4 linked regions of the Caenorhabditis elegans genome follow. The protein of the gene in region 4 interacts with the protein of the main gene of each other region in a pairwise test. Each region holds a gene or a part of one and is shown on either strand. Other genes may lie near its edges.

Region 1 (5,320 bases), on a different chromosome or scaffold from region 4:
GAATTTTAAATTGAATAATGAATTTGAATAAAACTTTTAGACATATTTGATTTCATATTATACATTTTTCTAAATTTTTAGAATGATTTTTTCCGAAATTCCCTCGCATTAATCTATATTTTTAATATTTAATTTGAAACATTTTTTGCCAAATTTTCATCAATTTTCCGTGAGGGAAACTTGATAACCTGAAAGAAATTGAGATAAAAACAATAACATGGAATTTTTAATTTTCGAAACTAGGTGATTCATTTTTGCGGGAATTCGAAATTAATTCAACATTTTAATTTTTGCTAAATTAAAAAAGATTATTAGAAATATTTAGAAAAATTGTATTTTCAAAAAATTTGACAGTATTTACGATCCATTTTTTTTTTGTTAAAACACATTCCTCAACTTATATTACTTAATTAATTATTTAATCATTAAGGCAAGAGAAATTTGATAAAATTGGAAAAAAATCAATTTTTGAAGCTTGGAGGCTTTTATGGAAAATGTATGAAAAAGTAAAATTGTTTGGATCACCGAAACGGGCCATAACAACCGATTATCCAAGATTTCCGTTTCGGAAAACGAAGAAAATGTTAGAGAGTAGTTGAGCGAAACAAAAAAATGAGAGAAAGGTTTCCTTTTTTCTCAGCGTCTAGTAATTTTTCTCGTGGGGATTTTCGATACTCTATCGTTGTCAGAATAGTCAGACGACGAATAACAAGATGGCAAATTGACGTCACGTGGGGGGAAAGCTGATTCATTGTAAATTCTGTTACGATTAAATAAAAATCATATAAAATGGATATGAGTTTGAATAACACTAACTGAAAAAAACCCTAGTAGGAAAAAATAGTTCAAAGGAATTTCTTCACGATGAAAAAGAGTTCCAGTGCCAAAGCGAGTTCAGCAGGAGCTTTCTAACATCTCTACCCACCCTCTTCATCCTGTTACACTATTTCGTCTCACGGAGAATATTGATTTTGACGAGAAAGAGACGAAAAGATGCGCACACAGACACACGCACATGCGAGAAGGCTGTCAATGAGAAGAGAATCAACCCTCGAGACACACAAATACTGAGTTCCTACTGGTTTTGAACTTGTAACGCCGTTTTTTTTCTGAATTTTTGAGATGGCAATGGAGGGAGGGGTAATTTTAATTTGGCAGCAAGCTGCGCCATGGTTTGTCGCGAGAAAGCTCGTTTAGAGTTTATGAAGCGCAGGCGTCATAGAACACTGGCAAAAAATCTCCTAACTTTTGTTTTTAATTAAAATTAATTAATTTATGTTTTTTTTAATAAGAAACAATCTAAATATTACCTAGATTTGTTATTTATGTAAGTTCTATTAAAAGTTGAATTTGAACAAGAAAATTGGGCAAACACGAGTTTTCCCATTGACCACGAAACTCTGTTATCATTGAAAATCAGAATTTAAAAAAAAAGAAAATACGCAGAGAAACAGTCTGATTGGGTAAAGCGATAGTGGAACACGAGACCCGAAAAAATAACAAAATTCTAGTCTTTGAAACTTCAAAATAGGATGTTACAAATGTAAGGTTCTCGTCAAAATAGTACGGAAACTTGTTTTACGTAACTAGCGTCATGTTTTTAAATGATAAAATGAAAAAGGAAGTCACTAATGGTTCGAAAATTGGAAATGTTTTGAAGAAGTGAGTTATTACTTTTTGATGTAATGCTCAAGCCTGGGCTCTAAATGTATAAATTCGATCTACGACAACACGAAAGCTTAAAATTGTTGAAATGAAGGCAAACAATTGCCAATTTAAAAACAAAATTGTATGTGCTAGTGACAGCACGTGATTTTGAAAACCAATAACAAAATGAGAGGAGCGAGGCATCTGAACTCAGATTTTTATCAGCTAGATTCTGTGGAGGTTGACGGGAGAAACAGCATCATTGATTGTTGTTTCCACCTGTTTTGTTCATTTTTAACATTAACCACCTAATCCAGGAGATTGTCAGGGAAAACCTACGAAGAACATTTTTTCATGTAAGAAATGTAGGTTAAATTGATAAAAAATTAATTTACAGAAATAGGAGACATCTTGACGAAAAACAAAGAAACGAATTGAACCAACTCTAGAAACAGAATGGTTTGTCTTCAAACCAGCGCGTTTTATTTTCACTGATGGAGCGATCTAAAATAAGTCGGAACAATAATCTACATTGAAAATTGTTTAGATGGATTCTGGGTCGGCGTCGACTCCCTTGAACCAGTGTCCGCACTCGCATCTCTTTGGATCTCCTTTGCGAATTGTCATGAAATTGACATGTCCGGAATCTTGCTCACCTGAAAAATAGTTGTTTAATTGAATCAATCATGCTTTTAAATATAACTTACACATGCATCCAATGATTCTGAAGTCGTAGTGAGATGGGACCAAATTTGGCTTCTGCTTGGTGGAAGCCTCAGCGCGATAGTAGACTTTTGGCTCGTAACGCTGAAGAATGAAACTTTTATTATTTAACTTTGAAAAGATGAAGAAATAGTAGATAATTTGCCACTTTTACTAAATGGGTTTCATTTTGTAAACACTTTCTCATTAAAAACCAGTATTAGATACGATAACGACTCAAATTGCAAATCTCCCTCAGATCAGCTTCGACAAAGTTCGTTCAATACGACTCACACTTCAAGACAAAATCTCGAGAGCGAAGTAGCTCACAATTAGCTAAATTGATACATCATGGGGTATACTTTGGAAATTATTGGGAAAATTGTTAAATTTTATTAACAAAAACTCACATCATCTCCAGCAAGACGAGCGAGAAGCATCTTCTTTTCACGTCCGGTAGCGTGCTCAAGTGGATCTGGGTAGTATCCGTAGTCTTCTGGCGAGGCTTCAGTGGCCAAAGTACGACGGGCCACGGCAGCTGGAGCGACGAGCTTCTTCGAAAGGGCGGCAACAGCCGTCTTAGCAAGTTGAGCCATCTGAAAAATACAATTGTATTTCTCAAGTATCAAAAACGACTAAATATAAATTCGATTTCGAATGAAGAAAATTATCGATCGGGAGTCTAAAAATCAAAAAAGGAAGGTGGCCTTATTGAAATAGGGTTAAATTAAAAGATAAACCTCTTGAAAAATCAGAAATTTTTTGAAGAACACTTATATTCTGATTGGACCCTTGAAAATGCGAACAATAGCCGAAAAGAGCCAAAAACGCTTGGCACGATTTACGGAGCCTCAGTGGCGGGCGTACACTCGGCGTACACTCGGCATACACTACGCGCGTCTGTTGCAACGCACAAGACGCTCCTCAATACGAAACACCGTAATGCGAAGAGGATTTGAATTCGTTTCGTCCACTAGGCGCGCTCGGGAGAAATTTTCACTTTTTTTGGCGCGAAACAGACGACAATAGGATTGGGAGATGGCTGTCATTCTTTCTCATTTTTCGCTTCTCAATCGCTCGTATTCTCTCTCTTCGATTTGCTCCTAAAATGGAGTTGTTTGAAAGTTGACTCGTTGTCTACACATGCTGTAAATATTGAGCCACATTTTATTGTTTGTTAACAAATTTTCTTGATTATATTGCAACTTGTGTGTTCAATAGAATCTTTAGTTTTAGGGAATTCGTTTCTCCAGCGGCTAATAAAATCATTATAGATTTGCATTTCGGCTTCTACTTTAGTTACGTGCTATTGCTTGTGATGTTTTTAATTTTTATTTATTTTATCATAGCTTATTTACTGAAACTTAAACTTCGTTTTATTATTTTTTGCATTGAAATCTGAATCGTCCCGATGAATATTTGCATTTTCATGAATAGGACATCCAAGCGTCTATATCATGAACATCGGATTAAGGTTTAGTGGAGAACCTATTTCGCAATATACACCAGATGGCCACTACTAGTCATGTCCACCGAGGAATAGGGTCGCCGCTGTCCTTGGCCAATCGGACAAGCGTCGCTCGTTCCTCTCTCTGACCCGGCACTGCCTCTCTGACCAGTTTCATCCAAGTGACAGATGTCTAGAGCAAGGCAGAAAAGATTGTCGTCTTTAGTCTTCCAATTTGAGTTGTTTTACCCTTTCCTCGCACCAGAATATCTAATGACGAAGAGCTCTGTTTTCTTTCCCAGCCCGACTTTCATTTCTCATTTGACTAGATGCATAGAACCCAATAGGGTTTGACTGCTGTGTATGTACCACGATGCAATGGGCGTAATTGCTCTCTGTTTTCAACGGTCCGAGTCTTTTTCGCTATTTCGCAATACTCTTGAGAGCTAGCATTTCATATGTATGCAATTGGGTTTGTTTCATTTGGAGGCTCATAAATTTTATATCCCAAACCTTCTCCATCTCGTTAACTAATGTAAGTTCCTGGTTTTGTTTTTATTTACTTGTTGTAAACCTTGTACCAAGTTTATATCTGGTTTATTGCCCTGAAAACTATTCAGCCGGAATTGTCAACAGGATTATTTATAATTGAGTTGACCTTGTTTCCTAGTTGATCGACTCCTATGATTTTATCATTCGTACTTTACGCCATATGTTATCCGCGTTCATTTATGATTTCATTTCTTCTAATTTCCGTTAATTTTCAGGTTCGTTTTCAACATGCGTGAGGTCATCTCCATCCACGTCGGACAAGCCGGAGTCCAAATCGGTAATGCTTGCTGGGAGCTCTACTGTCTCGAGCATGGAATCCAGCCCGATGGAACTATGCCATCAGACCAACAAGCCGATGGAGAATCTTTCACCACCTTCTTCTCCGATACTGGAAACGGAAGATATGTTCCAAGATCGATTTTTGTAGATCTTGAGCCAACTGTTGTTGGTAAGCAATAATAAAAACCGTTTCAAATTCAAATTTGTTTTTTTTTTCAGATGAGATCCGCACTGGAACCTACAAGAAGCTGTTCCATCCAGAACAGATGATCACCGGAAAGGAAGATGCCGCCAACAACTACGCTCGTGGTCACTACACCGTCGGAAAGGAACTGATCGACACTGTTCTCGACAGAATCCGTCGCCTCGCTGACAACTGCAGTGGTCTTCAAGGATTCTTCGTCTTTCATTCATTCGGAGGAGGAACTGGATCTGGATTCACCTCATTGCTTATGGAGCGCCTCTCGGTTGACTATGGAAAGAAGTCGAAGCTGGAATTCTCCATCTACCCAGCCCCACAAGTCTCGACTGCCGTCGTTGAGCCATACAACTCTATACTGACGACTCACACCACCCTCGAGCACTCCGACTGTGCGTTCATGGTCGACAACGAGGCTATCTATGATATCTGCCGCAGAAACCTCAGCGTTGACCGTCCAAGTTACACCAACCTGAACCGCATCATCTCGCAGG
Region 2 (6,266 bases), on a different chromosome or scaffold from region 4:
GACTAATTGTCAAAATTGAGCGTGTTTTATATTGATTCTGTCTCTGTGCTATTCCATCTTTCCTGCCTAAAATGTATGGCTTTTCTCGTTACATTTCTCCAATACTTTCCAAAGAGACGCAGACATAAACGAATGTTTGCCCTATTGCGAAAGAAGTAAATGAATCACCCTTCCTTTTCCCTTTTTTCCACTATTTTTTATTTTTTATTTTTTGAAGCAACATCGGCGACCATGTCAAAAGCAACAACTCCAGGAGATCAACCAAAGGTTTCGGAAATGGACTTTTATCAGCTGCTTGGAGTAGAGAAAATGGTAATTAATTTTTTCGGATGACATCTGAAGGCATGCAAGAAAGCAATATTTCGTCTCCAGGAAATTTCCAGGAAACGTTTAAGATATATTTAGTATTTTAAATGAAATTAATCTCCCTATCATCGAAATTAATAGAAATTAATTCATTTTCCAGGCGTCCGAGGCAGAAATCAAATCAGCGTATCGAAAATTGGCTCTTAAATACCATCCAGATCGTAATCCAAATGATGCTCATGCTCAGGAAGAGTTCAAGAAAGTTTCAATCGCATATTCAGTTTTATCTGATCCAAATAAGCGAAGACAGTACGATGTTAGTGGTCCATCAGAAAATCAATTGGACTTTGAAGGATTTGATGTCTCCGAAATGGGAGGAGTTGGTGAGAAATTTTCAAGAATAACATTTAAAAACGTTGATTTCTCCAAGAACAACTGAAAAAGTTAACCCAGAAAATTCCAGGGACTTTTTTTTTCTAATTATATAAATAATTGCAGGTCGTGTCTTTGGAGCACTCTTCAGCAAGCTTGGAGTACCTATTCCCACACAAATTGTCCCAAAAGTTCTTGCACAGGCACGTCACATTTGTATGGGACAAGAATGTGATGTTCAGGCACGACAACTCCCTCCCGGGGAGACTGTAACTTCTTCTGTGAGCAAGCAGGTGAGAAATTTGTTGTACCATGAAATGTGAAAATTTAATATTCGAAAAATTCGGATGGATTTTAAGTTTAATTTTTTTAAAATTTAATTTTATAAATACTACTAAAACTAATATTAAAATTAATTTCAGCACGCCCACTTCTACGAAATTAACATACAGGAAGAACATCGAAAGAATGGAGTTGCTATCATTTGTAAAAGTTCATCTAGTAAATTCAAGTTAGTGTTATTCGATAAAGAAGGAGGTGTCCGAATGATCCAAGAAAGTGGGAAACGAGGAAAAGCCGGAACTCAAGCCGACATGTTCTTTGTACCGTACAATGTGGCCAATATTCAAGAATTCAATGCAATGAAATATCATTTGGAGGATAAGGAAACTCCATTGGCTTTTCATTATTTGGATAGTTTTGAGATGCAAACTGCGACACTTTTGGAGACACGGAAGCATTATATTGCAGTTTATGGTGATAATTGGATAAGCGATGTCAAATATTCAATAACCTTCCTTCCTGTGGAACCTTCTGCTGTCGAGCAACTGAATGAGATTCAGGATACGGAGAAATCGATTTCTATTATTAAAAAAGAAATGCTGGATTTCCAAAGAGAATTCACAGAAGCTAAGAGAAAATATGATGAAGCTGTGGCGAAGTTGAAGGTAAGATTACTTACTTCGGAAGCTGAAAGAATATTTGTTTTAATCAAAAATTTAATTTTCAGGTACAAGACGACACAATTCTGAAAGCGCTGGCACATCGTGAAGAGCTCTACAATGAAGTTCTCCAGAAGTCTCAAGAACCGTATAACAAGAAAGTTTCCCCATCTAAATCATCGGGTGGTCTCCTTGGATGGTTCAAATGATCCCTATCAAGATTTTTTTAAAACTATTTCACAAGAAGAATGGGTCTTTTAAATTTTTTAAATTTCACTTTCCAGAGTTAGTTTCGATATTTATTGATTGTTGATAACATTTAATTTCTCCTCTATTTTCTAATGTCGATCCATCAGATCTCTTTTTTTCTTTTTTATGGTGTAATTTAGCAAAACTTTAAGTGTTCTGTACTCAATTTCTAGATAAATTACTAGTTTTGCTCTTGATTGAAAAATATAAATAAAATATTTATGGCTAGAGTTTGATTTTAAATTTATTTTTTCTTATTAACGCTGTAAGCAGATTCGCAGCACAAATTTATTTGGCGAGCAGTATAACTTTGAGATGATTTTTTTTAGCATTTATGAAATTTTGTACTCTTTAATTGCAAATTTTCCATACTTTCATACGAAATTTCATGAGTTTCTCAATATTCCTCAATACTTCAATAGTGCTTGTTTACGAATTGATTACAATTTTGAGACAGTAATTTTTAGATTGATATGATACTTTCATTCTTATCATGTCGTTTCCGGCAAACAATCGAGTTCCAACTCAGCTCCCTCTTGACGTCATTTCCCATTGATATTTCGCAATAGACATTTTGCCAACAACAAAATGTCTCATTTCTCTCTCCGTCACACGTTTTCTCGTTGCAGGCGTGGCCGCGTTGCGGTCGCGACGCGTTTGTCGACGTTGCTTTAGCATATACCCTCACTTTCCTCATCACAACAATCGCAGAAGCAGAAGAAGTCTTTTTCTTCATAAATTCCTGGGCTTTAGCCCCATATTCGCTACACTGAAGAACTATACAATGAGCAACTATCCAAAACGTATTTATGTGCTCCCAGCACGCCACGTGGCAGCGCCACAGCCTCAGAGAATGGCTCCCAAGCGTGCACTTCCAACAGAACAAGTTGTCGCACAACTTCTTGGCGATGATATGGGACCATCTGGGCCACGCAAAAGAGAACGACTGAATCATTTGAGTCAGGAGGAGAAAATGGATCGTCGGAAACTTAAAAATCGAGTCGCAGCCCAAAATGCTAGAGACAAAAAGAAGGTTAGTGCTGAATGTTTATCGAACCCTGAAAATAAGTTTAATTCTTGTAGGAAAGATCAGCAAAGATCGAGGATGTGATGCGCGATCTGGTGGAGGAGAACCGCCGGCTCCGCGCTGAAAACGAACGTCTTCGCCGTCAAAATAAAAATCTTATGAACCAGCAGAACGAGTCCGTCATGTATATGGAAGAGAACAACGAAAACTTGATGAACAGCAATGATGCATGCATCTACCAGAACGTCGTCTACGAAGAAGAAGTCGTCGGTGAGGTTGCACCAGTTGTCGTCGTCGGAGGAGAGGATCGCCGTGCCTTTGAATCAGCAGCATTCATTAATGAGCCTCAGCAGTGGGAACAGGCCCGATCCACCTCCATCAACAACAACATCAGCAACCAACTCCGTCGTATGGATTCCAAGAAGAACAACACAATCAGTGTGGATATGTATCTAACTATCATCTCGATTCTATGCAACCACATGGATCGCAACAAGAAGATGGACACCTCGAACAAATCCTCGAACATCTCAAGGTAAGATAATTAGAAACTTCCTAATGTTTATGTATTAACTTCATAAATTTCCAGAGCCCAAGCGGAGAGTTCGATCGATTCGTTGCTGGCTACATTGAGGAAGGAGCAGACGGTTATGCAGCGTCTTGTTCAAGCGGATCCATGTACACATCTTCAGAAACGCGTGAAACACTTTCGCCGAATTCCCTAGCCATGTCCCCGTCGATGAGCAGCTCGAGCACTGACTGGGATGATGAGCTTTTGGGATGTGGAACCGAAACTGGAACTGGAACCGACGAGCTGCTTACCGACCCCGGAAACTGGAACTTTGAAACTTTCGACGAAAATTCAATCGACCTAAATTTCTTCCAAAATTAATTTATATCTGGTGTATCGTTATTGTAGTGTCCTAGTGAATTTCCCTCGTTATTATTTTCTCCCCAAAAATCTCTCCAAATTTCTCCATTTCCTCTCTGGTATTTTCTTCTTTTCCTCTTTTCCTTTTGTACAACCCCAACTTTCGTATTATTATTTACCCTTATTAAATTTCCCTCCCCCAAAGCTCATTGATTCCAATTCCCCCATTTGTATATTTAATAAAAACAGCCATACATTTTTGAGATTTGATCATTTTGTGCAGGAACTCCTTCGTTATTTGCCTGGACTACATTAAAAAGACTCGCAGCCTCTTCACATCAAGCAGTACATTTGTTTATATTATTCAAGGGAATATGGTGTGAAAATGTCTAAACAAACAATCCATCTTTCGTTCCCACCCGTACCGCCTTCTCTTCTTTTTCATAGCACAAATATACAGAGACATGCACTGATTCACACCACGTGGCCCCTACTTTCGTTTTTAGAAAATCGTATTTCTCGAAATTCAGACGATCTTTAAATTGTAGTTTTTTTTTTGTTGAATAATACTTTAGTACGATACAAAATATGTCTAAACACAAAATTCGATATAAAAGTTGTCAGATTGAAAAAGTGCTGAACTCATTGAGCTTAAGACGCTCAATCCTGGTTTAATAGCCTCTGCTCTCACTCACTTTTTCTACGACTAACCAATTAAAAAATCGATTGAATCGGTCATTCTCCGCCGCCACATGGTGCCCATCTGTCTTTTTATTTTCCATTTTTCCCCCTCACTTTCTCCTCGTTTATTTTCGCAACGCTCCAGCTCCCTATTCTCCTCCCGGTTTTTCATTTTCTCGTTTTCCATTTTTCAATTTTCTCACAATAAGGACTCACTATTTCCACTTTTTTGTTTCTCTTCAAGTGCGAGTACTAATCCCTTTCACAGGAAAAGTGGAGTTTTTGTGCTTCTTTTAAACAAAAAAGTAGATTCGAATCGATTCTTAGAGAGAAATCGGCATCGAAATGCTTCATTTTCGCAATATTTATTAAATTTATTGGATTACCTACCGCTGCGAGACCCACCTGGAAATTGTATGCATGCACCTTTGATCACTGTAATTATTTGTTTGTCTTTTCTGATTTTTCTTCCTTCTTCATCATTTTTAAGCGTGTTTTCTAGTTTTTCCTCGCTATTATGCCTAAAAAACATTGAAAAGAAATATTCGTAATTTGCACCTATTCATTCCTGATATGACAAAATATTTATCCGATCACTTCACATCAAAATTAGTTCCCGTGTCACAACAAAGAAAAGACCTTGAACACTGAGGAGAAAGAGAGAGGAAGTGAGGAAAATGAGGCAAGATGACACAAAAAAAAGACGGAAAACTATCGAAAAATAGGGTCGTTTTGAGACTGAACAACCAGTTTTGGCCCCGTTTCAAGTGTTGGTAGCTACCTCTGAAGGCAGAACTTTTTTGAAAGACTGTAGATACTGTAGATTGAAATTTGATTAAGTTTCCAATGTCTTTTACGTTATTTCAGTCCTTTCAAAATCTGTTTCTAGACTTTTTCTTCTCATAACTTCAAAAACCAATACAATTTCTTCAAAAAAATAAGTTTTTGCTCACAAAAATCTTTGCACAGGATCCAATGGCCTAGCTTTACCCAGGCCACCACATTCCTCTGTGTTACCCGCCTCCTCGTGAGCTGCTCGTTGCGCGTGTATCGCTCTTTTTCTCTAATTCTCTATCATCCTTCCTATCCATTTTTAGCGGGTTTTTTCCCGATGTTACTTCAGTTTTTCTTTACGAGTAGCTTTGGTTTGTACATTTTGTTTTAGGAATTCATTTCTAAATGTGCCCAACTGAGCGAATCTTATAATGAGACTTCCCAAAAAAATGTTCAAAATTTCGAAAAAATTGCAAAAATTCCAATTTTTACATGTCGCTGTATTTCAGCTGCTGTAAGGAAAAGTATGCTTCGAAATTTTTGAACAGTCATACAGTTTTTTTTTGAGAAACTGACTAAAAGTCTCAAATTTTCGTTCATTTGGGCACATATTTTTATTTTGAAAAATCCACATATTTTCTTGAAATCTCAATCGATTTTTTAAAGCTTTTTTCTTCCTTCAAAATCTATCTTTTCGAAAAAAAAAAGCTTTTCCAAATATTTGTTGTTCCAGATCTTCTCTACAAATGACAACGGCGGCTGAAATAATAACAGTGGTGAGTCAATATAATTTCAGGTATTTTCTTCTCCAACTAAAAAAAACAAAACATCGAGCGTTTTATTTTCTCTTCCAGCGCTCCCCTCATCTTTTCCATATTATGCACATAATTTTAACCAAAACATTGATTTTTGTGGTGTTTGCACCGGTATTATATATATTCTGAACAAGTATATATATATATTATAAGTATCTCTCATTTTTCTTCCGTGGCTAGCGGCGCATGCGGTTTTGTGGCCTTTCTTATAATTTCGATCTATATCTTTT
Region 3 (6,649 bases), on a different chromosome or scaffold from region 4:
ATATAAAGAACCTACCAATATGGCATTGTGGACAGAGAATCGATCTTCTTAATGGTTCCATGAGATTCAATAACTTTAGTTTCTCCAGTATTCGTCATTTTCCTTGGTTCGTTTTAACCGTAGTTATTCTCTGTCGGGAACCACGAATCCGTTGTTTGATGAGATTCACCGACTGAAATTTGCTCGTATTAAGTCCGATTCTTTTATACAATCAGAGAAAAGGGCGGAGCGTTAAGGTGGCAAACGGTTGGTAAATTGGAAAAAAGAGAAGTCATAGAACTATCAATGTCCGCTAAATGTTCTTAATCTAAGCAAAAATGACAAGAAAATGAGAAACAAACGTGCTTCTGGCATAAAACCACTTGTTTTGTTCAATATTTATATAGAAGGAACATAGCATGCTGGGTCTCTCGTTCTCTCACTAAAGCGTTCGTCGTGGCACTCAGTGCACTTTTGCATACATGAAGCAATACACATTCTCAGCGGGGCGCCGATTCCTTCATAGAAATCGGATTCTTACAAAAGACAAAAAAGATAAATCGAAACATTTTTTGAAAATAGCGGTATTTGAAGCAGAAAAAGTGAGTGGGGAAGTCTTTTAATTTGATAACAAATGAGTATTAACAATATTTTGGTGCATGATGACCTGTGAACGATTTGGTTGGGTTGTTATCGGGGCAACAACAATAATGTTTTGCCAAAAATTTGCCAAATAGTTCAACGTGGAACTTCTCTTTGTTTGTCTTATGCAGTGATGTTTATATGGAGATGCCAGTGCCATGTTGTACGGTACCTGACACGATTAAAAATATGTCAACAAAAACAAGTGTACGCCTTTAAAGAGTACAGTAGTTTCAGCAGTTTGCTGATTTCTTAGTTTTTTATCGTTTCCTGTTTTTTAAGCTTCAATTTTTAATAAACAGTGAGTGTGAAAACTAAGAAAAATTGAACAACGGTACTCCTTAAAACCGCACTCCTCTCCTTTCACTGAAAATTATTGGCCGTTTCGAGACCGGGTACCGTAATTTTTAAACAGCGAAATTTAGCATTTAGGTATTTGCTCTATTATTCAACTTTGAAAATTCTGTTGTTTTCTCAAAACAAAATTTTTTTTTTGTAGTTTTTATAACATATTAAATATTTTCTGATATCTGCAGTCATATAAGTTATTTGGTGCAAGAGTAACTGAGAAAATACGGATGCGTTCTAGAAAAAAAGGATAAGTAAGAAAGTCGTAGATAGTTACTATTTGATAGTATCTCAAGAAAGAATGGGAAACTAAGCAAGACCTTGAACTAATCGTCATTTGAAGAGAACTTTAGCATAGTACGTTTTCAAACGAAAACCACAATTTCTCAATACTGCCTTCCCATCACAAACGAAAATTTTATCCTATAGGATTAAAACCAATTTTCAGTAGAACTACAACAAGATTCTGAAAAGTGCACTCAATGCTTTCACGAATGGGCTACAGCACAAGATGATAACTGTATGAAATAATCATGTAATGCACGATATCAGGCCATTTCAATTGGTCTTTTGCGGCGATTTATCACTGGTGATAATTGGAAGTTGGACAGATAAAAGTATAAGATTGAAAAGATTGAACCAACAGAGATTAATAAAATAACAAAAGTCGGAGATGATAGGCAACTCAGCAGCAAATTTAATTTAATTTTCAAAAAAAAAATTCATGTAGTATAATTTTCATTAAAAAAAATGGTTAGCAAGGAAAATGAAATGATTATGTTTCTTCGTCTTCAATAACTTCCAGCTTAATTTGACTTGTCAACTTTTTCAAATGTTTATCCGTAGCCTCGACTTGTCCATGCCATGCGTGCAGTTTGTTGGCCCATTCATCACTGATTCGAGGTTTCACTTCAACTACGCTGGCCGATTTTCTGTTCTTCTTGTTCGCAGGCGATGTGAATGATTCGTCACTGAATAATTTAATAATTTTTAATTGAAGAAAAAAACAAAAATCTTCACTTACATTTGGGAAGCAGTTATCGGAGCAGAAGTTTGTGGGATTTGTTCTCGTTTCACTTCAACCAATTTCGCATTTGCACGTTTTGGTGCCCGAATTCTTGCAACTCCCGATGTTCCCTGCTTGCCTACTTTACCGCCCAATGAATCTTCAGGTATTTCAGGCTTTATTCTGGCAGCATACTCATTTCGTAGAACTTCTTCAGCCAATGCATTATCGTCTAATAACTCTTCAGGATTAACTGTTGTCGTTTTTCTGCGTCGCCGTTGTCTTACAGGGCGATCAATCGGGCTGTAAAAATAGGTTATTATTTTGGGGTTAAACTGTAATTGCTTACATTGGAACCTGAGCATCATTATCATCCAAACATTCCTGGGCGATGTCACCAAACGTTCTTGCGGTAAGATGTTTGAAGTTTTCTGCAAAAGTTGAACGCTGACTTTTGAAAAAAAAAAACATATTTTCGTGTAATAAATGTACCTTCCATGTTTGGATCAAGATGCCTTCTTTGTCTAGTGTGTTTTAGTCCTTCAGCATATGCTTTACTTCTCAAAGTTGATCTGCTTGAACCAGCTGTTTCCTCTGGAGCGCTACTAATTTCTGGATTTGTTGGAGAACTTTCGAACTGTTCTTTATATTTTTCGACAATGCCCTTGATTTCGTGTAATGGTGATTTGAGCCCCGTTAGAGTATCACTTAGTCCAAGTTTTTGCTTAGCCTCTGTGTAAACTCCGTGAATAAATGATAATTCCGTCATAATATCAGAACTGAGCATTTTCGTAACACTGGAAAACGGCTCCTGAAACTGTTTATGAAAAAATTCCAATAATTTAACTTACTTACAACTGGAATTTTGTTAAAATAGGGCAACTCTTCCTCGGCAAGGTATTTTTTGTGGGTTGCCGGATCATATGTCGACTGAAACACTTTAATTCTAAACGCTTTCTTCAGAATAAGCATTTTGAGAGCCGCAATTGGTTCAAGAAGTTTTTCGACTTCTAAAGATTTTTGAAATTCGAGAAGCTCTTCGAATTGTACCGCAGTGACCGGAATCTGAATTAAATTTTTTAAAACTAAATTAAACTTAGAATTAATCACCTGACAGACATGATCAACTGGCTGCAAATTGTACAACGCATAGCAAACATAAACTCCGAATAGCCTCTCCTGAAAATATAACATTTCAGACTTATTTTTACTTCTATTTCAAACCTTGAATGCCCTGAATGCTCCAACTTCATTCACTTTTCCGAAATACATTGCTGCGTGTTGTAACAGGTATTCAGTAAACTGAAAGCCGGAATATTATAATAGACTAAATAAAATCAAAATAAAGCTACCTCTAAGCATTCGGCAGGATTTAATCGATAATGAAGAATGGTCTCAAAATGCATATCCCGAAAAACATCAGCAAAGTCTCGAATTCTTAATTAATCAAGATTTTCCATCAAATAATACATTTTCTAACTATACCTGTTGGATCCCATAGATATAAACTTGTTGCACAATAAATGAAGATCTTGTTTAACTCCAGTTCCCATAAATGGCGTGGGAATACCTCCAGAAGCCATTGCGACTCGTTTTTTCCTTGAATCTTCAGAAATAAATCCGAAAATAATTGACGAAAATAAAAACATGCAAGTGCGCTCTATCGTGAACAACCAATTCTCGGCGGGAACCAGCGGTATTCAACGCATTTCAAAATGAGTTGCGCCTCAATTTACCTAAAAATATTGTTTTTCAATCGTTTTGATATAATTTAGCTCAAAATATTCCCATAAAATTAGTTTAAATATATTCGCAATCAATTTTACGCTTTATTAAAACATCAAAAGCTATAGATCTGCGTGAAACGTTCTTATAAATCGTGTTGCCGTGAAAAATATTCTACTGATCGTTTTCTATCGAAACATTTTCATGTTTTCAGAAGAATCGAACTTCAATCAGTATGCCTGACGACGAGGAGAAGCTCCAATTACTTGCTGTAACGTTTTATCATTTCATCTATTACCAACTAAACCTAATATTTCAGGACGTTGAGAGGCTCAAGAAAATTCTCCGTCAAAAAGATGAAATGCTCGAGGAGATGGAAGACGATCTCAAAAATCAGGGAAAACCTTGTTCTTCCAAACTTTCACTCGAAGAACGTGCACAAGAATTGAGTGAACAACTTCGCGATCTTCATGTTGAGATGGACGGAAAAAACGCCACAATTCTTGATCGGGACGCTCTCATCGATTCACTGCGTAGTGAGATCGACAAACTCGAAAAAATTGTAGGTTTTCATCATTGTGGGCAACATTAATATATTGAATTCTCAGAATAAGGAGTTTGCCAACGGATCAGTGATTCCCGAACATGATGATTCCAATTCCTTCGGAGAATCTGAAATGCTTCGTATTAGCGAAGATTGTCAGAAATACAAAGAGACGGCGACTGCTCTTTACGAACGAAACGCCGAACTCGAAAAAGAAGCGGTCAACTTGAAAGATGAAATTGAGTCGATGATGGATCATATTCGGGACCTCAAAAATCATATGGAGACGCGTGATGAGGAAATTGCCAGATTGGAAGGAGAGCTTTTTGATGAGAGAAACTCCCATGAAGGAAAATTAGCGGCACGCGGAAATTCAATGTTTTCTGAGGTAGGTTAAAAAATATCAATTAACTGCATTTTTTTTAATATTCTTCAGGTTATTGATGCCGAGCGGAAGGTTGAAGAAGACCTGAAAGTTCTTCATGGAGAGAATCGAGCACTGAAAGGGATGGTAAAACGTCTTCGAATGGAAGTAGAAGAAGTCGAAGAAAGACTTCGGTCATCCACAAAAAGATTCAACGTTACCCGAATGACCACAAGTGATATTGATGTCAAAGAGATGCGTCGTCTCAGAGACAGAGTTTGTCACCTGGAAACGGAAAGGGTTCATTTGTGGGAAAGAATGTTCATTAAAATGAGGTCAATTCCAAAACGCGAAGTGGGAGCGTTGATTACCGGCTACTTCAAGTCGTTCGAATTGTCAATTGCGAGCGTGAAAGGAGGTTTTGACGGTTTGATGAAGGACAACGAAAAGTACGTGACAATTATTCGTGGATTGCAACAGGAAGTAGAAAATCTCAAAGCGGACATTGTGCAACTACAATTCGACAATAAATGTGCTCACAGAAAAGCTGCACCAGTTGTCAATAAGGATTTCGAGCACCCGCTTCTTGCTGCTCCTCTGAAAACTCTTAACAATGGACGACCATCATTCTTCATTAAACCGAAAAACGTGGAACCCATGCCTCAATTAGGGCATTCATTATCCAGTATTGCCGTTACGCCACAGGTAGATAAAAGTGCAACTTTTCACTATAAATAATTATTTTTCCAGAAACCAGCAGCTAAATTCACCACTCGTTCCTCCATCAAAGATGATACTTCAGAATGGGCAGAACGTCGTATGAAAGCTCAAGCTGAAAAGAAATTGGCGACTCCGACGCCGCGTTACAACTATATCAAACTGTCCGAGCCCGTTCCAAAATTCAAACCGGCTGTTCTTCAAATGCCATCAACCTCAGAAACAAAGGAAAACTGAGTAAACATCATGTTCGTAGTCATCTCGTATTCATATAAAACCGCCTGTATTGATCTCGTCCCCTCTATTCACCAAGTTTTGTCGATTATTCTACAATGTTTCCTATTTAATGCATGTCAAATAAAATTATTTTTATTATAACGCTCATTCTTAGATTGTTGATGTTCAAGAACTTGATAGAGCCGCTGGCGGGAGTGCAGTGGAGCGCGAAACCCTATCGATATTACACGATCACTTATTGATTTATATATTTTTAATATTTATTATTGTAAATATGGGGTAGAATATAGAAAAATATTTTCCAGATTTTCTCTTCCCTACAATCTTCGGAGATCTCGTATGGATATGCTTTCGATATAGGTTCAGTTCTTACTACTAGTAACATTTGAGAGAGCTTAAAATTTAAAAATTGTAAACCGTTCGAATTTGTTCTGGTGTGGGGTTCGCATGATATTGATCGTTTTTAATATTTACGATGATTTTTTGTGTTGTGCGAGGGTGTTTTAAAATTTGAATTTGCCGCCGAATGAAGTAGAACAAGAACGCAAATGCGCTCTGTGGCGAATGGTGTTCGACAAAAAGTTTTTAAGATCATTTTCTCAGCAAAATTTCGTTTCCTTTCTAATTTTTCCATTTCAGACATCACATTTCGTCCGGAAAGCAGATGCCGAAGAAGAACAATACAAAACGAGCACCACCAAGGTATTTTTATAACATTTTGATAAAAATAATTATCTAATATTTCGTTTAGTGTACCAAAGCCGTCCGGTCCGCCACCTCGATTACTTCAACTGACATCCTCAGATGGACATTTGTTGCAGGGAGACATCCGGGCCCTCCTCCTCTCAAGTACACTTGCTGCAACCATCAGAGAGCTAGGATATGACAAGGAATACTGTGCTGAATTAAAACCGGTACCTGTGAACAATGTTGTTGGATTTACATTAAAATTACTGATTGAATGGTGCGATAAACACAAAGAAGATGATCCTGCAATTGCACTGGCCGAGAAGGACAAGAAAAATATTTGCATTCCTTCCTGGGATAGACATTTTCTCAGTAGACTGCCAATGTCAAATTTGTTCGA
Region 4 (5,640 bases):
CATCGATTTTTTATATTATATATTTAAAAACTAATATAAACAGTAAAAAATCTTGAGAAAAAGTATGAAAAAACAATGAAAATTCCACAGCCACAAGATTTTGATATTACAGTACTCTTTAAAGGCGCACTCTTTCGCATTTAGTTAGCAAAAATTTGTCGTGTCAAGACCGGGTACCGTATTTTCGGATAAAAATTGGAAATTTTTGCGTCCGTGTAATATTTTTTTTCATGTTTTTTGCATCGACTGGAAACAATTTTTATTTTATTTGTTTCATTTTAATTTGATTTATTGAAACTGTTTTCAGGCATTTCGAGCAAAAAATCTGTTTTAAAATTAATTTCAAAAATTAAAAAAAAACGTTTTTCATCGAAATAAAGTTTTAAAACATAATTTCAATAGGGTTTTAAATGCAAAATGGTTTTTTTTTTACTTTGAGAAAAGTTTTCTAATAATTTTAAAGTTTTTTTCCAAATATCTCAACTTTTCGATTCTTTTCCAAAAAAAAAAGCTCACCATAATCCTCTGGCACCGGCTCAGCCTTTGTCAAAAAGTTCCATTCCCGTCCATTCGGCGATTCTTTCTTTATCACATTTTCCACGTCTTTTTGTGTAGTTTGCTCGACTTCTTGCCTTTCTTTTAACTTTATTTTCTCTTTCTCTTTTCGAAATTCTTGAAGGTTTCGGAGCACATCACTCATTTTTATGGATCTTCTAAAGAGGAGGGGAGCTATTTAAAATTTGAAACTAAAAATTGGGAAGTCGTTTGAAATAATATTAATGGATTTACGAACCATCAAAAAACAAACTGAAAAGTTCAAAAATAAAAATTAAAACTTATTTATAAAATTTTTCGACTATTTAGATTTTTCGTTTAATTTTCAAAATCACAGAAATGAGATCAAATATGGTTTTTTTTTGGAGATCAGTGATGAGATGGATTGGAAACCGTGAGTTGATGTTTTTGACGATCAATTTTCTTGAGATTGACGTGGTTAAAATGTTGGCGTAGCTGAAAATATTCACAAATTTTGAAAAAAAAAAATAATTTTTAGAATTTAAACTTACAATTTCTAATGAATTTTCCGGTAGAGTTCCGTTCACGAGTCCAATGAGTTTTTCTAATTTCTGGTGCTCCACAATTTTTGGGAATAAAAGATGCGGAATTAACATATCCAGTTCTAATATTCTTAGTTCTTGAAGGCCATCCAAAAGTTTTGTGAAATTTTGTACAGTATTACAAGATCCATTATTATGAAAATGTAGATTCCGGAGAGTTGTAGAACATCGGGAAATTAATAGATCAATGGAAGATGGAGTCAGCTTGCAGTCATTTAGATAAAGTGTTCGAACTGTTGACGGAATGAATGCAAGAATTTGATCGATTGGACAGATCTCTTCTTTCTGAGGGCAGCTTCTGAAAAATTGTTTTTTTAAATTAAAAAGTGGAGTAGAGACAGTGGTTTTTTTCCATAAATTACAGTAACCAGTCTCAGTATACCGAATATAAGATGCTTAAAAATGTATAAAATTATTCTAAATTTTGTATTATTTTTTTTTTTCAATTTTGCAAACGACTCTACTCTTTTTTTTTCGAAAATTGAACATACGATATGAGAAGCTCTTTGACAGAGTACATTATCGGCAGAACCGTTTCGAGTTGAATAAAGCCGTCTTCGTGAAGATTCGTCATATGAATAACTTCTGCTTTTTTGAATATCGACGGGCAAGCATCAGCTAGATCCTTGACAGTATTATCCTCTTCGTCTCGAAATTGAATATTCAAAGTTGGAATCATTTTTCTTGTCGGTGAAAGATTATATGGTCCATTTGTGATGAATACTTGTAAAACTCGTGATCTATCCGACATGAATTGAGTCAAAGCAATAATAAGATTTCGCGGCATTTGTGGATCAGGAAAAACCAGCTGACACGTTTCCAGTTGAACTTCATGCAATGCCATCTCGACCATAATTTCTTCAATGAACCACGAGTTTTTAGATAGGCTCGGATTGACGTGGCAGCAGAAATGTTTCAAATTTGGATTTATTAGTCGTTTCATTCGTTCAATTTCCGTACACCATTGTCGATCGAGATGAAGTTCCAATGATTCGATTCGATCCAAAACGGCGGCGTCGCCTGATTCCTCATCCAATTCAAACGAAAAGTTTCGTGCATTTCTCACAATGATTCTGTTTAATTTGGGAAACTTTTCTATATTGTCCAGAATTTGTACAGTAAATCGACGGCATCTAATTTCAAACTCCACTATCCGATTGAGAAGTCGCTTGCTGACTCCGTTGAAGAAAACATCTTAAATTTAATAATAAATTCCTGAAAATTATCGTTTTTGCAGTAATTACCTGGATTTTGAATAGTATCCTTGTAATTATAGCCTACTATTTCGCTACGTTCATCTTCAGGAACATCTGAACAGTTTCGAACTGAAAGACGGGACGAGAAATTACGAGGTCGCATGAGAAGAGTGAGAATTGATGGCCACTGAAATAAAACATAATTATAATACAGGTTTAAAATAATTATAAGCAATCTCACATTAGGATCTTCTTCCAATCGAATCGCAAAATTTCCAGAAATCGGAGTTTTCAAGCACAATTCTCTCAATCTTCGACTCGAAAGCTCCAGTGAATTTCGATCTTTGAACCTCTCAACAAATTCGATAATCTTCATCATTAGCATGTCATTCCAGTATAGTAACGTCTTCGTTTCCTCACCATTTGGCATCAAAAACTGCAAAAATATATGTGATATGAGCGGAACAAGAACACAAATCTATGCGCAACAGCTTGAACAAACATTCGGTTGACCGAATCGAATCGATAAAGGTGCGGGGAGACTAGCGGAGCGTGGTGGTGGTCACTAATGGATTCTCGTGAAAAGATTTATAATTGATATTCAATAAATAAATCAACAATTAGCTTAATTTTAACTATTTTCAAATGAAACGGAACGCCGTCCAGATGCGTGTCAGCAAGTGCGCGCGTGCGTAAATCGATAAATTTGCTTTGACATTTTCGAGTTGCACACTCACAGCGCGCGGCTCTTTTCTTCCATTTTCTCATGCTTTTTTCTTGTTTTTCTCAATCCCTGCTTCAGCCGTTATTCATGTTTTATGTCTTGTTGTGTCTAGAATAAAACATTTATTAATAATTTTTTGTTTCAGTTATAAATGGCTGAGAAAAATCACCAACAACAAGAACGACTACCTGGCAACCCGTTTTTCCCATCAAGAAGCAACGCTGGCTCTTCATTTGACATGCCCGTAAGCTTTCTAATAATAATAATGGGAAAAAGGAATAAAAATATTTAATAATATGCAGGAAACACCACATCTCATCGATTCGCTCACTTCTCAAATCGACGAATTCACAATTCAAAGCATAATTGATACTCAGAGACAGAGGTAATATACTGGAGAATTTAGAATTTATTGATTTTTCTTTTTTTTTCAGCTTGAAACGCTTCGAAAAGACAAATGAAATGCTCATGAATTGCGCTCAACTCGGCGATCGAAGAATTGAAAAAGCAAAAAGGGATTCTGTGGGACACAAAGAGACAATTCTGCAGATGAAAACTGATTTGGAATTTATTTTCAAAAAAATTCGCATGTTCAAAACAGTTTTGTCGTCAAAGTATCCAGAAGTTTATGCTGAAGGTGCAGATATTTTAATTTGAATACTTTTAAAAAGTTCATCAAATTTCAGTGTCAGCCGAGCTAACGCCAAAACGAAGCGAGGAAGACGAATGAAATACAATTTATTCGTAATTGAAAAACAAGAAGAAAAAAAATAACAGATCATTTGGAACAAATACAAGTCACAGAAATTCAATAAAGATCTCAAATTTTTGATTAAAGTGAAGTCGAAATAAGTTATAAAATTTTTTGTTTTTAATTTAATTAGTAACTTCACTATGGGGACTTTTTGACACAAGAGAAACAATAGAAATTTGAATAGAGAAAATATTAATGTGGAGGTGGTTACTGTCGGAATAAAAATTTAGAGTTAAAATATCAATATTACACGATTATGATCTACGGTGACGTTTCGAGTCACGACAGTCATCATCAGAATCGGAAGAAGCTGATCTATCATCTGAGGAAGAATGACGGCGTTTTCTTTTTTCCTTTTTACTTTCCTTGCTCTTCTTCCTTTTTCTATCCTCTTCCTCATCAGAATCACTACTATCATCAGAATCATCTCGTCGCCTTCTCTTCTCTTTCCGTTCCTTCTTTCTCTCCTTTTTCTCGAGTTTCTTCGCCTTCTTCTTTTCTTTTTTCGCCTTCTTTTTCAGCTTTTTCTCCTTTTTCCGCTGCTTTTCCAAAGCAATGAGCGGAGTCTCGTCGTCACTTGATTCAGATGATGTCGAACTGACCTCGTACGCTTTTGTCGATACATTTGGACGTACTTCAATGTGATTTCGACACTGGAAGTATAGATGACCCGGATATCCACATCTTTTGCATGCTCCCGTGACTGCGGGGGCAGATATTGCGGCACCTGATATATCTGAAATTAAACAAATTATGTGATTTTAATTTCCTATGAACTACCGTACCTACAAAGGCGTTCGGGTCGTATCTTGATGGGAACGCTGACTGTGCTAGGGAAGCAAGTGAAGGTTTTTTACCTGAAAGTAGATTTTGAGTTTTTTTTTTGAAAAATTTATAAATACTTTTTTTCCAAAAAACCAAGTTTCTTTTTTGGAGTCGTTTTCAAAAAAGTTTTTTTTCGCTTTTTTCGTCCCCTAAATTGTTTTTTGTTCGGAAACATTTTTTTTGCGAATAAATCCATAGTAATTTAATTTTTGAAAATTTAAGATTACTTACCTGACTCATCATCTTTTGATAATGGGCTATCTGTGTCAGTTGTGGTAGTTACAGTTGTACTGGTAGATCCGAATTTTCGCACAAACGGCATCGGAGTCAGGTTAGCGTTCGCCATCTGTAATTGTAGTGAATATTAGGGAGTACTAAAAATAAGCAAAAAATAACGTGAAGAGGTGGTAAAAGACGCTGGTTTTATGCGCGTTTTAGAGGGGAAGAACTGTTCTCAAGGGAAGATGGGTTTTATAGAAAAATTATCGATTTTTCGGCGCTTTTTAATCAGAGAACATAGAAGAATTGGAAAACATGCTGAAAAGATTTAAAAATAAGATTTTTTTCAACAAAAAAAAAGAGAACTATCAAGAAAAGTGAAAAGCAGCAATGGAAGAAGTGAGAAAGAAATATGAAAAGTTTCGAAATTAATACGATTTTTTCCACTAGAGCACATTAGCACGGTGTTGTTTGAAATTTTGAATAAAATATTTTTAATTAGAAAAAAGGTATTATCTGATGCAAATTTATGCAAACTTCTCGAAAATGTTCGAAAAGCACTCCTGGTTTATAACCCTGCAAGTTTTCAAATTTCTGGATTATTAAATCGTCAATAATATCTCATATTTTGTGTATTTTCGTCGAGTTTTTTCGAGGATAATCTATTAATTTACTACTCAAAACCACAGAAAACGAGAATTCGTAGATTTACAACAGTAAATAATGCGAATTTTATTTGGAATACTATAAAAATATTGAACAAATTAGCGATTTCAAAATTAACTGACAAAAGAATTCGCGAAA

Evidence for each region.
Region 1: the proteins of kxd-1 (region 4) and cox-5B interact in a two-hybrid assay, tested with the Caenorhabditis elegans proteins (one large-scale study listed by BioGRID).
Region 2: the proteins of kxd-1 (region 4) and xbp-1 interact in a two-hybrid assay, tested with the Caenorhabditis elegans proteins (one large-scale study listed by BioGRID).
Region 3: the proteins of kxd-1 (region 4) and spdl-1 interact in a two-hybrid assay, tested with the Caenorhabditis elegans proteins (one large-scale study listed by BioGRID).

Annotation. Positions count from the first base shown.
Region 1 is NC_003279.8:9,786,634-9,791,953, reverse strand, and holds cox-5B (COX5B-domain-containing protein), read right to left. Parts: upstream 2,946-5,320; coding exon 2,760-2,945; intron 2,734-2,759; exon of another isoform or gene 2,464-2,733; intron 2,455-2,463; coding exon 2,355-2,454; intron 2,304-2,354; coding exon 2,191-2,303; 3' UTR 2,103-2,190; downstream 1-2,102. Other genes in the region: tba-1 (Tubulin alpha chain), read left to right, coding at 4,330-4,331, 4,564-4,796, 4,847-5,320.
Region 2 is NC_003281.10:4,191,331-4,197,596, forward strand, and holds xbp-1 (X-box-binding protein 1), read left to right. Parts: upstream 1-2,478; 5' UTR 2,479-2,652; coding exon 2,653-2,901; intron 2,902-2,951; coding exon 2,952-3,430; intron 3,431-3,484; coding exon 3,485-3,620; 3' UTR 3,621-4,028; downstream 4,029-6,266. Other genes in the region: dnj-16 (J domain-containing protein), read left to right, coding at 218-312, 467-689, 805-971, 1,101-1,625, 1,688-1,828; asd-1 (RRM domain-containing protein), read left to right, coding at 5,968-5,997. UniProt on the Caenorhabditis elegans protein: Required for transcriptional regulation of the unfolded protein response (UPR) in the endoplasmic reticulum (ER) under stressed conditions, acting downstream of ire-1, and also maintaining ER homeostasis via a negative feedback loop, in parallel with ER kinase pek-1.
Region 3 is NC_003280.10:7,777,652-7,784,300, forward strand, and holds spdl-1 (Spindly-like protein spdl-1), read left to right. Parts: upstream 1-3,914; 5' UTR 3,915-3,935; coding exon 3,936-3,971; intron 3,972-4,019; coding exon 4,020-4,262; intron 4,263-4,308; coding exon 4,309-4,632; intron 4,633-4,680; coding exon 4,681-5,313; intron 5,314-5,358; coding exon 5,359-5,562; 3' UTR 5,563-5,700; downstream 5,701-6,649. Other genes in the region: mthf-1 (putative methylenetetrahydrofolate reductase (NADPH)), read right to left, coding at 16-98; snpc-1.1 (snRNA-activating protein complex subunit 1), read right to left, coding at 1,745-1,940, 1,994-2,278, 2,325-2,406, 2,468-2,786, 2,831-3,040, 3,086-3,154, 3,200-3,277, 3,328-3,412 and 1 more; skr-17 (Skp1-related protein), read left to right, coding at 6,227-6,264, 6,314-6,649. UniProt on the Caenorhabditis elegans protein: Transient kinetochore component required for chromosome and spindle pole alignment and chromosome segregation during mitosis.
Region 4 is NC_003283.11:7,218,290-7,223,929, forward strand, and holds kxd-1 (KxDL domain-containing protein), read left to right. Parts: upstream 1-3,179; 5' UTR 3,180-3,189; coding exon 3,190-3,282; intron 3,283-3,340; coding exon 3,341-3,423; intron 3,424-3,472; coding exon 3,473-3,675; intron 3,676-3,724; coding exon 3,725-3,768; 3' UTR 3,769-3,867; downstream 3,868-5,640. Other genes in the region: C13F10.5 (SAYSvFN domain-containing protein), read right to left, coding at 517-700; C13F10.6 (FTH domain-containing protein), read right to left, coding at 925-1,011, 1,068-1,416, 1,610-2,312, 2,363-2,501, 2,556-2,690; C13F10.7 (CCHC-type domain-containing protein), read right to left, coding at 4,047-4,528, 4,578-4,649, 4,849-4,963.